2 linked regions of the Oreochromis niloticus genome follow. The protein of the gene in region 1 purifies or fractionates together with the protein of each later gene. This does not show direct contact. Links are inferred from orthologs where the notes say so. Each region holds a gene or a part of one and is shown in the gene's direction. Other genes may lie near its edges.

The links.
Region 2: the proteins of prkacab (region 1) and palm2akap2 purify together in Homo sapiens (affinity purification with mass spectrometry; 5 studies listed by BioGRID and IntAct, with this or other methods). This does not show direct contact. The link is inferred for Oreochromis niloticus from reciprocal best matches to the Homo sapiens genes PRKACA and PALM2AKAP2.

What each region holds. Positions count from the first base shown.
Region 1 is NC_031971.2:31,066,228-31,073,400, reverse strand, and holds the start of prkacab (cAMP-dependent protein kinase catalytic subunit alpha), read left to right. Parts: upstream 1-4,075; 5' UTR 4,076-4,830; coding exon 4,831-4,876; intron 4,877-6,306; coding exon 6,307-6,368; intron 6,369-7,173. Other genes in the region: asf1bb (histone chaperone asf1b-B), read left to right, coding at 798-974, 1,627-1,824.
Region 2 is NC_031972.2:26,864,441-26,871,909, reverse strand, and holds the start of palm2akap2 (palm2 and akap2 fusion), read left to right. Parts: upstream 1-4,423; 5' UTR 4,424-4,920; coding exon 4,921-4,964; intron 4,965-7,469. UniProt on the Homo sapiens protein: Binds to regulatory subunit (RII) of protein kinase A. May be involved in establishing polarity in signaling systems or in integrating PKA-RII isoforms with downstream effectors to capture, amplify and focus diffuse, trans-cellular signals carried by cAMP.

The sequences.
Region 1 (7,173 bases):
TTAAGTGCAGAAAAGTACTGTCAGATTTTTCATCTGATGTATGACGGCTTTTGAGAGGAAAGGAAGCCATGGACAAGCACCTTAGCTTGTTTTGTCAAGAAGTGAATTGGAGGTTCTTGTCCAAGCCTCCTTCTCCTCTTGTTTGGATTATTGAATGGAGTTTTCTGTTCTGACTCAAGCATCTATTAATTCCCTTCAGTCTGTCCAAAATGCACCTGTGAGACTCTTAACTCACTCTCAAAAGGCTTCATATGTCAGTCCACTTCTAACATTTTTGCACTGGTTTTCTGTCAGGTTAGAGTACAGTTTTAAAATTTTGGTTTTTCATCTCCATTATCAAAGTGCTCCACCCCTATTCTCCAGGCCGAGTTCGTAGGTCCTCAGAAGCATTCATGTAATTTCATATATCCTTTTGAAAACTAAGGGTAGACTGTGGCTTCCAAACCTTAGCTCCAAAACTTTGGAACAGCTTCCCACTCATTCTTTGCACCTTCCAGTCAGTGGCATCCTTTAAACGGCAGCTTAAAATGCATCTGTTCAGACGGGCATTTGGGTTATGTTTGTGTTTTTGCTCAGTTCATGTGTATCCATTTTGCCTTTTTTAACCTCTATAAAGCACTTTGAGTGTTCCATGTCTTCAAAATTGTTATAAAAGTGATTTTCACATACTCCTTTTGCACAATATCATATATAATGTATTTGATATCCCTGGTTTGGTTAACCAGTTACTGTTTCATTTATAGGATAATTACTTAGAATTGATCTGATTTCTTCTCTGTGCTCATTTACCCTATCAGGCTGACGCTCCTAACACAGGGCTGATTCCAGAAAGCGATGCTGTAGGAGTGACCGTAGTCCTTATAACCTGCACCTACCGTGGACAGGAGTTCATCCGCATCGGCTATTATGTCAACAATGAATACACGGACCCTGAACTACGAGAAAACCCACCTCTCAAACCAGATTACTCTCAGGTAACATACACAAGTACACCAATGACCATCATGAATAATACTGAGGGAAGCTGTTTCCAGCTGTCTGCATTTACTGTAATTAATCACTGAAGTGTACCCATGGTGCTAATTTATTTTATTTTATTCAGATATGACCACATTACATCAGCATTAGATGGTATTAAGTGTAGAATATGGGCCATATTTGTGGAAAAGTACTATAAATGGCTCTCTGCTGCCCTCTTGTGCCCGGAAATGTACAATTACAGATGACTGTAGCATCCTGTACGAAATAAAAGTAGAATTAACTGGGGATTATTTAGCACTGTGTTTTTGTTTTATTTGGTCTTGCATTGTTTTAAAAGAATGCACTAGTTCCGGTGGAAAAAAGTGTATTTCATGCTTCCTTGTACCAGTATCTACATTAGCATTAAAATCATTACCTTGTGCTTTATTCTCTTTACACTGGTCTTTTCCTTCTACAAATCCAACATAAAACCAACTATTCATTGTATTTAATTCAAAGCTATCCCATGTTCTGAGGGGAAATGTGCACTCCTAAGGATGGCTGTCATAACTAACTATTGAGCTCCCTAATTAGTAATCTAATTATGTCCTGATGTAAAAACATTAGCAGTCCACCCCTATTTCTAACAAGTTCTCATCATTGCAGCTCCAGAGGAATATTTTGGCCTCGAATCCTCGTGTCACCCGTTTTCATATCAACTGGGAGGGCTTGGCAGACAAGATGGAAGACAGTGAGAATGTTGACCCGTCCCCCAACATCAGTGGCATGTTCCCTCCATCCTGTATACCAGGAAAGATGCCACATCTAGGAGTGATGCCAGATAACTCCATGGACTGCATGTAAGAGGCATCAAATTAATGCAATGGATAAGGAGCCCTTCTTATCTATACACGCCCACATTGCAAACACACATTTATACAAGGAGGCCATGGATGTTTCTGTATAACATGTGGACTTTAACAGAAAGCACAGGACACCACAGCATAGACATTATCTTTTTATAAAGCACTCAAAAATGGGATTGGTCTGGAATTGTTACCACCTTTGGTTCCTCCTCTTTACGCACTTCCTTTCAACACACACACACACAGGTGTGCACAGTCAGATTTGCCTTAATTTATTGTATTTCTGTATAAGATTATATTTCATGCCTGGCTGAAAGAAGTGCAGATCATCAGTGCAGGGCCAGGTCGCTTCAACAGCCCTGAAACGTGTGGGACAAACTCAAGATTCTGATACCCATGTTGTTCATTTTGTCCTTTTCTGCACAGATCAACTAGTGCTATGTGATGGGAAGGATGTAGCACCTAGCTGCTTATAGTAGAGCACTTCATTCTTTGTAAGATTTGTCTCTTGTGACACCTACTGGGGGGAGGGAATTGGGTTTAAATTATGGGCCGTGTTTATGATATTGTGGCATCAAGTGGCTTTATTCGCATTAACATGTTTTTCCCCAGGGTTATCCAGATTACTCTGTAAACCTGCTTCTGTGAATAGGCCCCAGTTCACCTACTGTTACATAAAACGACTATATGAGCAAAACATGTAGGTAATGATGAAGGATGCCAAATTGCATTGTGTGTGTGTGTGTGTGTGTGTGGATGATTTAGGCTTGCTGTAAATAATGTTTTCCCTGTTCTTATTTTGTCTTCAAAACAAGAAGGCATGTTTTCATTTTGTACTTACTATACATTCTCAGCTTCAGTATTTGTAACAACAGTGATGGGGTTAATAAAGTTTTTTTTTTTTTTTTTTTGACCTTGTCGTGTTTCCTGTTAATCAGAACATGTTACATACGGCTGCTTTCCACCTTGACTTGTGTGGAAGGAAGCACTGCAACAGCAGAGAGACTCAGCACGTTGGCTTGCTCCTCGCCCTCCCATCTCTGGCTCCTTTCTGTTTTCCGATTTCATTCATAAAATGCAGCACCACCATTTTCACTCTAGCCTCATGTTGCTAGGCAACTACTGCACAAAAGGAAAGGGGGGCCTGTCTGTGTTCTCTTGCCCATTTTATCTTAGTTGAAGGGACCAACTCCCCCATCCATCCATCTGTTACCTCTGTCCACTTCTTACATGTCTGCACATTTGACCAGTGTATTTTCATATATTCATATTTAGCGGTAAAACCCATATGCAGCTTCAATTGTCCTTTAACAGCAGCCTGTAGCAGCGCTCAAATGATTCGTAGGTTTTAGGGGTCATGTAGATTTAAATCTTAAATTTTATTTAATTTTTTTTTTTTATAAATGTCTGCCATTAACTTGTGAAGCATTTGACATCATTGTTCTCATCATCATGTCTTTTGTGGTGAGACTGTGATATGTAAGTTACAACCATGTATAAGCAGAATTAGTGATTTGGTTGTTTGAGTCCGTTTTACATAACCGTGGTGGTGTCGTGTGAGCCCAAATGATGGTGTCAAACCCTGCAGCAGCTGAGAGATCTCGTATTCATAGAATGGATGTTTTTTCATACCATGAGTTTTTTTTCTTTTTTTTAAATTACCATCACAAGGTGAAATTGTCATTGAAATTAGATATTCAGATGCAAATCCATGTGAAACCGAGCCTTTTGAAGGTCCTGGTAATAAAAGGACTCTCGGTCATATGCTAGGCTAAGCCTGCAGGTGATCCAGGTGCTGGGGTGGTTGTGCTGTGTTGAAGGAGGCAGTTGGAGGGTTGACTGTAAAACATTCAGAAAGACGGTATCTCTTCGAGTGTTTAGAACGACCGTCTTGTTTCCTATTATTCTCACTAAATACACTCATCATTTAACGCACGGCGGTCTGCGAAATGTTTAGAAGTCCTGCCAGCCCGACCGCGCCGCGCGTGCGTTAAATTCTGACCAACATTTCTAAAAATAGCTCGCGGTTGACGTCACTTGGCCAAACGTGTATCAGTCGCTTGGCGGCGGTGGGAGTGGGGGGCTGAAGAGGGGTTTTTTTTCTACCTGCCAATCGTTACTCACAGCCAATAGACAACTTCACATTCGCCGAGATTCCCACGGTTCGCCTGCATCGAGCCAATGGAGGACGGAAACCAGGAAAAGTGGGCGGGTATGTCGTCGGGAGGAAAATAATCGGTGACGTTCCTCTCACTCGCTTTGTGTAGGGCGGTAGGATGGTGCCGCTCTTGATGGATTGCGAAGAGCCAATCAGTGCCTTCCGTGGGATACCGGCATACATAGGTTGCCAATCCGCGGGTTGGTTGCAGCTGTCAATCAAAACCCGGTTCTGGCTAGTGGGCGGGACGTTCAGTCGACTGTAGTTCCGTCATCTCGCTCGTCTCCGAGGCTACGGGGGGCCAATGTTGATTTGGGTGAATTCCCGTCGTCGTCGGACCCCGCCGAGGTTTAATTTTTAAAAGCTGGGTTTAGTAACGAAAAGTGGCGGCTCTTGGGCTGAGAATATCGCGTCCCCGCCTCTGGTGTCGTTTTTCTTTAGGCTGGGGAGAGGTGGGGAGCCGGGGGGGCTCGTTCGGCGGGGGCTGCAAGGAGGGACAGGCGAAGACTGGATCCTCCGTGTTCAGGCCATCTGCGCCGAGCTCGGCCTTACGGTCCAGTGAAGCCCCAACGACCGAGATACCTCAAAGGTATCCTCCCCGTGGATTTGAGCTATATATCGGTCGCCCGTTGCTGATGACTGAGTGAGTGAGCCCGCTTTACCATCTCGTCTCGCCCTGGCACCGCATCAGCATCTGCCAGGCTATTAAAGACCAAGACCTCGGAGTTAACGCTTGGTGCTTTTGGATTTAGAAAATACCGATCAGACCTAATCGAGATTAGACCGGCTTGAGAAGGCTGCAGGGCGGCCAAAAAGCCACGGATCTCCCGTTGACAGGTTGTCATCATGGGCAACGCGCCCACGGCCAGGAAGGGCAGCGAGATGGAAAGCGGTGGGTACCATCGCCTGTACGCTACACATAACACATTGCTCTGTTCCAGCCTCACGAAATCACCAGAGACGGTGTGACACAGCGGCTATGTTAGCTTCAGTTAACATTCCATGCAGCGGCCTATTTCTGCTGTCTGATTTAAAAAGATCCACTCATACTGCTCAGTCCTTAAATAAGCCTCTGCCAGGATAGCTTTCAAGAGCCCAAATTACGCAGCTACATTTCAACTAACTAACCTCATAATATAGAGATAGATGAATAGGTGCTCAGTAGTAGTGGTCCGTTTTGAACAGAGCTTTTTCTGTGGATTCAGTTGATGCTGCTGTATGATAAAGCAGGTGGTAGTACAGTTTCCATAGCCAAATCACTTCACGAGGTGCAAAACAACCAACAGCTATTGTAAGCTGCAAGAATCTTGGCAACTTCACATCCTCTTGTACTCAAATCTTGGCGAGATCACAACAAGCTATGTGTCAGATATTTCCCAAACACACAGTGCCTGTTGCTCTCTGGAAAGAGATGCTGCTGAAAGTGTGGGGGCTATTTTGTTTGGTGGACCCCCTTAAGATTTGCAGATTGACACTGAGCTAGTCTGATTGTCTGCTGTACTGTAAGTCCAAATACAGAAGGATGAATGTGCTCATGTCTGAGGTTATTCTGTTGTGTGTGGGTTTTTTTTAAACTTATCATTTTTGGAATAGCAATTTATTAGAAATGATGTGTAAAGGTTTATTTAGTTATGTATGTGTCACAAACTGAAGTAAATCTGAATACTGTGATGGATCTTTTTTTAAGAAAATCAAAGAAACCGGTATGCCAAAAGGACTGCTTGACATTTAAATCAAAACATCTAAGTATATGGCATAGCTACTTGGTATAGATGCATCCTGGTCACTGAGCAGCTGAGTTGTTTAGTTAAGGTGAGAATGGAAAGTGTTGATATTTAATAGGTGAACAAGTGTTTTGAAATGTGTCCTGGAATTTGAGCTTTTAAATGAGTATACTTGTTGATGAGATTTCAAGTTCAGGTATTTTTTTCTGCACTTGAGAATATTCTGCATGTAGTTTTCAGACTATCAGTCATATCTGGACTAATTGCTGTACATTTAGAAAAATCCCAACACAGCCTGAATTACCTTACAAACAGATAAGATGATCAGTGTGCGTCTCAAAACTTTCGACACATTGGCTAATCATCCATGTAGCCTCTGGGTCTTTGTGAGTAATAGTTATGAGCAGGTGGTTTTACGATGGATATGAATAAAATTTGATTTAATTAACAATTTTTAGTCAGACTCTGTGCTGTTGACTTCAGACAATAAAGTATGTGTTCTATTTCTTTAGTTTGCTGTTTTTTCACCTTCTGTATACACACCGATGCCCCACTAAAGCCTTTCTTATGTAAACACTGGTGTGTGTTTTTTCCACAGTCAAGGAATTCCTTGCTAAAGCCAAAGAGGACTTCCTCAAAAAGTGGGAGAATCCTGCACAGGTTAGTGTGTGCATGCACTTCTGCCCACTAAGCTTCAGAAATATGATACACAGGATATATTGTTTGTAATTTAATCCTAACTTTGTTTGCATGTTAGAAAAACAGAATTTTCAATCTAATTCTTTATGGCCAAAGAAATATATACATTATTTCTGTGTGTGTTGCTGCTTTTGAAAATGCCAATCATAGCTACTGAAATTTCACTTGTTTCATGTCTTTATTGTTGATTTGTTCAGTATTACCAGCTATCACTTTATGCAAATGACAGCCAATTCTTTTGAAAATTTTGATATATTCAGATGGCGGTATAAATAAATTGGTTTGTAAATAGCATCAGTTTTATTGTTTATTGGCTATTGGTTAGTGATGATGCTACTGTCTGACTGTTTTTAAAATGCAAGTTACTGTTTCAAGTAAACTGTGACATAAAACAACTTCATATGTTTTGTCATATTTAATGCTGCAAATTAAAATTCAATATACATTTTTCATATTGTATGCAGTATGAGTAAGAAAGTTAGAAAATAACCCGTAGGGCAATGTCAACTGTATCAACCCTAAAGCTATAAAAAAAATGTTGTTTTAGATCACCTAATATTCTTCGTAGACATTAATTAAACCATTAAATCTGTAAATCTGTATCAACATTGTTTGATTTATACTGTATATAATTTTCTCCATATGTTTTGGGACACTGGCTTATTTTTTATCCTTTATTAAGCTTATTGAAGTTAAATGATGAATGTGGGGTTAAAAAATATACAGAATTTTTATTCAGTTTTATTTATTATTTTCAGATTGTCAA
Region 2 (7,469 bases), on another chromosome or scaffold:
TCAGAACTGCAGGGGAGCAGAGTGAAAATCGAAAAAAGCCACATGTGGTAGACTCTAATACTCTTGTTAAATGTCAACAATAAGCCAAAGCATGGAGAGAAAAATATATATATATTTTTTTTAAATGTTATTTTCAAACACATCCATAGAGTTGTATTGGTATAATAACCGCAGCTTCAGACTGTATTTAAAAGTCATCCTGAAGCAACACATATTCCATATGAATGTTTATTACTAAACAATTAGCGCCAGATAATCTCAGAACTCAACATCCTTAACAGTTAAACTTCACAGATAAACGCATGCTCCCGCGTCTTCTTTAAATATTACATTGAAATTAATTCTGTTTTTTTGTTAATACAAATTATTTGTATTACTAAACTAAATTAGTCTGCTCTCTCGCAGATCAGTTCTTCTGCATCCTGCACAAATTTCAGTCAAGTTTTAGGTTTCACCTCAGAGCACAGTCTGCTCATCTAAGGGTGACAATGACTTATTTTTAAGACCTCAAAGTCTGTCACTGTGCCCTACACATGCTCCTGGAATTCAGTAATTTGTCCTTTAGTGAGTTCCCTCCTCTAGAAACAGATCTTCAATACAAGTTCATTTACTTCTGTACCTATTTTCTGTGGAATACCACAAGGCTGCATTCTAGGGCCTTTTTTTAAAAAAAAATATATAAAACTTCTCCTGCACACAAAACCTTGTTTTACCTAAAGCTGGTGATCATAGCCCTTCAGCAAACTCCACAACTACTAGTTGAAATAAAGAGCTCAAAAGTTTTATCTGACAACCCTTTTGTTTTCTGTTGCCTTTTCATGTCTTGTCATGAAAATATGGCTCTCTTCTGTGAAATCCTCTGCACAATGCTGTTGTGTTAATGCACATCCATTTATGTTTTCTGTGCTTTGAATTTAACTGATCCAACTTTGATTTTTTCTTAAATGTGCTCATAAACAAATTGAGTTCAGTAAATAACCTATAATATTAAAACTTTTAATTCCTCAAAGTTATGAGTTTATAAATGAGTCACTTTTGAGCATCACTATTTCTTCTATATTAGAAAAAGACTTAAGAAGAACTAATCCCATGGGGATAATTTATTAACTGCATATGTTAAAATCTATATATTACCATTATATTATACCGCCTAAGCTCAGCAGCATGAATAACCACATGCTAGTAACACAACCTCCAGGGTGGGATTGAGTGTTGGTGTGTGTAAAAGAGGGTGGAGGGTGCAAGAGTGGTGCCCATTTAAGGTCACTACCTAAACCTAAAGAGCAGCCTCTAAATAGTTGACATACCAAGCAACATGATAACCATGGACTCAACACAAACTGATGGGAAGGGACACAGAGGGAGAAAGAGGGCGCAGCAGTGAGGAAGCAGATGAGTTGAGAAGAAACCATACAAGTGACGACAAAAGTGTGACAACCAGGAATGTGAAACATGTCAGTGCTTTAAGAAATGTGATATTCACTTTGTCCTTGAGCCGGGTAAATGACCTGCACAGCGAAAAACTCAAGACCAAGAACATTTATGGCAATATTGAGCTATCATATAAAATAGCTTTACGACTTATTTAACTTCCTAAGTCTTATAATTTGTCCTTTTTTTTTTTTATCTGCACCACCCTCCCAACAGTCTGGAATATTATGAAACACAAAAACAACTGTGTATATGTTGCACACACAACTATAGATCATATGCTGTGCAAAAATACCTTTCTTCCCCGTTATGACGCTCAGGTTGAACTTCAGCAGGTCGTCTTGATGATGTCTACATTCTGAGTCTAAATTTGTTGAGTTGCTGCCAGGTGATTGGCTGATTATATATTTGCATCAGCAGGCAGATAAAGAGGTGTACTAATAAAGTGGCCAGTGGAAGAATATTGATTGGTTTAAAAGTGTGCTCCACTTAGCTAGTGAGATTCTGGGATAGATGAGTAAGGCAGATGGATGACGGTGGTAGATGAGTAGCACCTTAACCCTAAGGGATTTGAGTTTTTGTTTTATTTTACTTCAGAGGTAATCTTTTGTATTGTATTGTAAACGTTTTCATGTCCTCCTTCCTGTCAGTGGGGAAAAAAAGATTGGTTAATAACAGCAGGAAAAAAGGAAAGATGTCAGAGTGAGGCACGTTCTCATGGACTTAGTCAAATATTAAAAGGAGGAAATAAGAGAAACCAGAAAGATTAGATTATGCTTTTCCCTGGCCCCCCTTCATTGCTGCTAAGTGTGCGTCCAGCAGGTTATAGAGCCCATAAAAAGACATTTGAGCTCCTTGTTCGGCTTTCTGAGAAAAGTTCCCATAGACTAAACAGCACTCACTACCCTGCACTTACAGTAGCAACCAGTAGTCAGTTTAAAATATCTGATGAGATCCAAAAAGCCACAAACCACTTTTATATTGGGAATATCTGCAATATGTTGTGTTAATTCAATAGCTGATACACAATCCTCTTTGTGTTTTCAGTTTGTTTGTGGTACTTATCCGAGAGATCTGTAATTAGAAACGTGAAACTGCTGCCAGCTGTGTATATTTATAAACTGTTACCGTGAAAGACAAGTTAAAGAACACGTTACAGTTTTGTTAGATATTTTCGGAGCTGTAGAGAGAAAAAAACGGACATTTATCTTTCAGTGTGCTGCAGTTCTCCTTGACGTATTAGATATGTCATTTCTCAAGCTGAAATCTGAAGGAACTAACTGCAATCTCCCAAATGTAGTCATGACATGTCCAGGCAAAAAATTCTAACTAACCTTTCAGCATATTGTAATTTACAGAGGTTTTTTTCTTAATAAAATATAGCCTGTGGGGGGAGATTTCAGCAAATCACAGGTCTTGCTGGGTAAGAGCAAATGTGGCTGAAGAGGTTAGAGGAAAAACAGGCTTCATATCCAATCTGAAACCAAGTGTCTCTGTGGACTTTTGGTTTAATTTTTTTAACACATATGACTCAAATAATTTAACACATACTTGTCTGGTGTGAGGGGCTCTTGTTAGAGATGCGAGAGCTGCTGGAGTAAGGATGCATTTTCAATTTCTGTTGTGTTTTAGTTTTGGATGCATTCTCTCTGTAAAACTCAGGCATGTTGTATAGTCAACCACCACCATACTGTTACAGCTCCACCACAGCTCCTTGTTAACATGAATGGACCACTCTGATGACAGCACCTCTGTACATTTAGGATTGTGGAGATGTTTATGACGGCCTGCTGAAGTTCAAAATGAGCATCAGAATATTGAAGAAAGGTGATTTAAATTGACTCTGAACATGGCATGTTTGCTGGTCCCAGACTAGTCTGAATATTTCAGAAACTGATGATCTACTGGGATTTTCATTCCTAGCTAAGGTTTATGGAAAATGCGCCAAAGAAGAGAAAATAGCCAGTGAGCAGCAGGGAAGAAAATCCCTTAGTAATGTTAGATTTCAGAGGAGTGTGGTCAGACTGCTTGGGCTGATAGCAACCAAAGTATTGCAGAAGAGCATGTCAACCCTTGAAGAAGATGGGTTACAGCAGCAGAAGACCATATTGGGTGACATCCCTGTCAGCTCAGAACAGGAAACTGAGGGTACGGATTGCACAGACTCACAAAAAGTATACAATAGAAGATTGGAAAAAGCTCAAATGGCAGGATCAGAATTTGGTGTAAACAACATGACACCCTGGACCCATCCTGGCTCATATCAGTGGTGAGATGGTGTGGGGGATATTTTCTTGCCACACTTTGAGGCCCTTAGTACCAACTGAGCATCCTTTAAATGGCACAGTCTAGTTGAGTATTGCTTCTGACCATATCCATTTCATGTCAAAAAGCTCAAACTATCTCAAATTCATTTCTTGAACATGACAATGTGTTCACTGTCCACAGTCACCAAACCTCCATCAAACAGAGCACCGTGAATGTGATGGAACAGGAGATTCACATAATGGATGTACAAATCTGCTGCAACTGTGTGATGCTGTCACATTAATATGGACCAAAATCTCTGACGAATGGTTCCATCACCCTGTTAAATCAACGGCAGGAAGAATTAAGCCAGGTCTGAAAGCAAACCAGTACTAGCTAAGTGTAACTAATGAAATGGCCAGTCAGCGTAAGACAGTGTGTTCCCAGGCTCTCACTCTAAACTCCATATGATCCTAAAAAAAACAGCTGTCGTGTTTGAATCAGTGATATAACACAGCTCAGTCCTGTCACTCCTATCCCTTCAGATATCTTCCATTTCTGAAATTTTTTTTCACATTGACCAAACAGTGTCTTTTACTATCCTACCTGTCTCTTTAAAGAAAACCCTCGTCATCCTCAGAGGGGAAAGGTTGTTTGCAAGAGGTAGTTAGTGAAAACAGGTTGGCCACTCCTTTCATTATCCTTTAACTCCCTAAAGCCATTGTTTCTCTCTCTTTCTCTCTGCTGCCTCTTTGCCACCCTCTCTTCCCTATCCCTGGCTATATCTCTATACAACAGTCCTTGCTTTCTTTCATCACTCCCTCCTATAACATATCTTTTGACTCAATTCTCTTTCTCGCTCTTTCTGTCTATATGTCCTTCTCGCTCTCTCACTCACACACATACACGCACATGCTTGCACCCGTTGCCTCCTGCTAGCAGAGCGGGGTGATGCAGGAGCGGCGGCAGCAGCTGCTCTGACACATCCTGGCGTATAAAGAACACACACCGAAAAGGCAGAAGGAAAGAAGGAGGAGGAAGAGGAGGAGGAGGAGGAGAGGAGAGGAGGAGGAGGTGGAGAAGATACAGAGGCAAAGAGGGAGGAGGACGAGGAGGTGAGGAGGACGAGAGAGGAGGAGGAGGACATAACTCTGTCAAAAGGACACTAGAGGACAGGAGTAGGAGAAGAGGACGAGGAAGGAGAGAGAGGAAAAGGGAGCGCAAGAAGCGGGTGTTGCAGCCATGTCAGACACACCTTTGCAGCGGAACGGCACAGCAAACGCCCCGTAAGTAAACCACGTTCATCTTTATGTTTCTATCTCCCTCCATCGCTCCTCTCCTTCCCCGCATCCCTCCTCTGCTCTTCCCTCCATCTGACAGCCGGGGTTGTCATGGGAACGGGGGCTCCGTCATGGTGAGGCTGCTGCTCAGTCATGACTGGAGAGGAGACACGCGGCACACCGTGTACACTCCTCCCTCTCTTCATCTCACTCTGCCTCTCTTTTCTTCACTTGCCCTCGCACTCCCACCGCAGATATCTCACCTCAAAGCACATCAGCCATTTAATGCTGAGCTCTGTTTTCCTCTCTGTGTTGCTGTCTTTTCTTTGTGTCTTCAGCCTGTCTTTGTAGAAAATCAGCTTTGCACTCCTTTTTGCTCATTTTCCTCCATCCCCTTCTGGTCTGTGGTGCATGATATATATATATAGAGAGAGAGAGAGAGTATGTGTGCGTGTGTGTGTGTGTGTGTGTGTGTGTGTGTGTGTGTGTGTGTGTGTGTGTGTGTGTGTGTGTGTGCAGTGTGTTAAGTTGTAGCGTTGTCAATGTGGAGGCTGCAGGCTCGGTCCAGCTTTTCTGTGTCAGCACAGTCCGCCATGCTGCAGACCCCCTCTTCCTGTGTGTAATTTTTGTGTCTATGTGTGCGTGTGTACATTTGTATAGCTTTTTTGTTTGTTCTTTTACTCATGAGAAATAAATCAGTGCAAAGGCAGAAAGAAAATGAAATTTTAAAAAGCCACTTGGGGAAATTTAATTGTCAGTTATTTTATAGACACAGCATGAAAGTCAGCCTGAAATGAAGCAAGTAGTCATGAAACCACACAGCCAAGAAAAACTAGGAAATATGTGTTGAGAATTGTGTCTGGGATTAAAAACAATCTCTGTTGCACAATGCTTTACTCGTTCTGAGAAAGATCATTTAGATGATTCTTACATATTTAAAGATAAAGAGTCTTTTGTAATGAAGAATGCTGTTCCAAACAAAACCCTTTATATCAGGAAATGACCTTACATGAGTTGAGAAGACAGCTACAGTTTTGTAATGTGTTTGTAAAGCGAGCCTGTTGCTTTAAGAGAAAATAATATCATGGGTGGTTTGCAGTGTGTTTGCAGATTTGGTGCTGGTGCATTAGCACTGTCTCCAAATTTATATTACAATTTGGGTAATAAAAATTAGGAGGAAAGACAGTAGTTTGCAGTCATGAAATCATAAATATAGTCAGCAAACTGTCCAGATTCTTGACTGGAACATCGGACAAAGACAGACAGTCTAAAGTTTTTAAAACAGGACTAATATTTGGTATCCATATCCACAAAACAGACACTTATTTAATTAAAATTAAACTCCCTACCAATACAGGAGAACATGTGATTATATACCTAAGTTAGTTCACACAATAATCTACCAAATTTAATATACTTATGCTGTAGCTGTGGCCTTTCAAACCAATTTCCCCGGGCATAGAGTCTCAAAGCCTGGGATAGATGGGCATAGCTTCCAGGTAAAGGAAAACCGATGTGTAATTGTGTAAAAGTTTATGAGAGAATTGCCCTCAGCTCCCTTAGTCTGTGACCTCAAATACTTTCCTACTAAATGTAACATTTTGTAAATCATGGTCCCCATTTCATTTAGAAAGGGGAATAAGGTAGGTGCTCTAGGGTGGACCTGCTTTGTGATTGATACGTCAGTACCAAATGACAATCTACAGACCTAAAAATGAAGCAAACACTCAAGTGCTAAAAGCCAAGCACACGTCATTTAAACAGCAATTTAACTAAAGATGGTATATCTTTTTATAATTCATTCACTCTGTGCTGCTTTGACTTCCTCACTATTAATTTTGCTTAGTGTGTGGCGCAGATGTCTCAGTATTGTATGAATCATGGCATTAAAACATATTAACTTGCATCTTTTTCTTCCTTACAACACTGCTGAACCTTCCCCTTGAACTATGATAAGCTTAAGATGCTCATCATACTTAAAATGTAAAAAAAAAAAAAAGAAAAACCTGTGATATAATGGATGGTCAGTTGATATTAAATTACAATATATCAGTGTGGTTAGCGGTCAGTCTGTGGCCTCACATGTAATGTGATCTCAAATGTGGTTTTGTTTCTGTTAGTAATGATAGATGTTAGAAGATGTGAGTTCATCAGTTCATCAGATTGCCTTTTCAATATCCATTTGGGGGTCTTTTTTTCTGGCTATGATGTGTCCTTGTGCAGGGTTTGTTTTGTATGTTGAAAAAAACCCTCCAGAACTATCAGAAAAGCAAATGAGTGAACAGTGATTTGGTTTGAGTGGCATCCAACTTGACTTACTGCAGCTAACTACAGGCTTAGAGCCTCAATCTGCAATCGTCAGACACTTTGACTGACAGGTTCCAGTGTCTTTTTTTCCTTTCCTCCTTCATAGCCACACCCATGATCAGGAAAGGCCAAGAAGGTGCAGCAAGGCTTTAAGCAGACATGCTTTGCTGGTGCATCAATAGTTAATGTTATAATTGGAAAAAT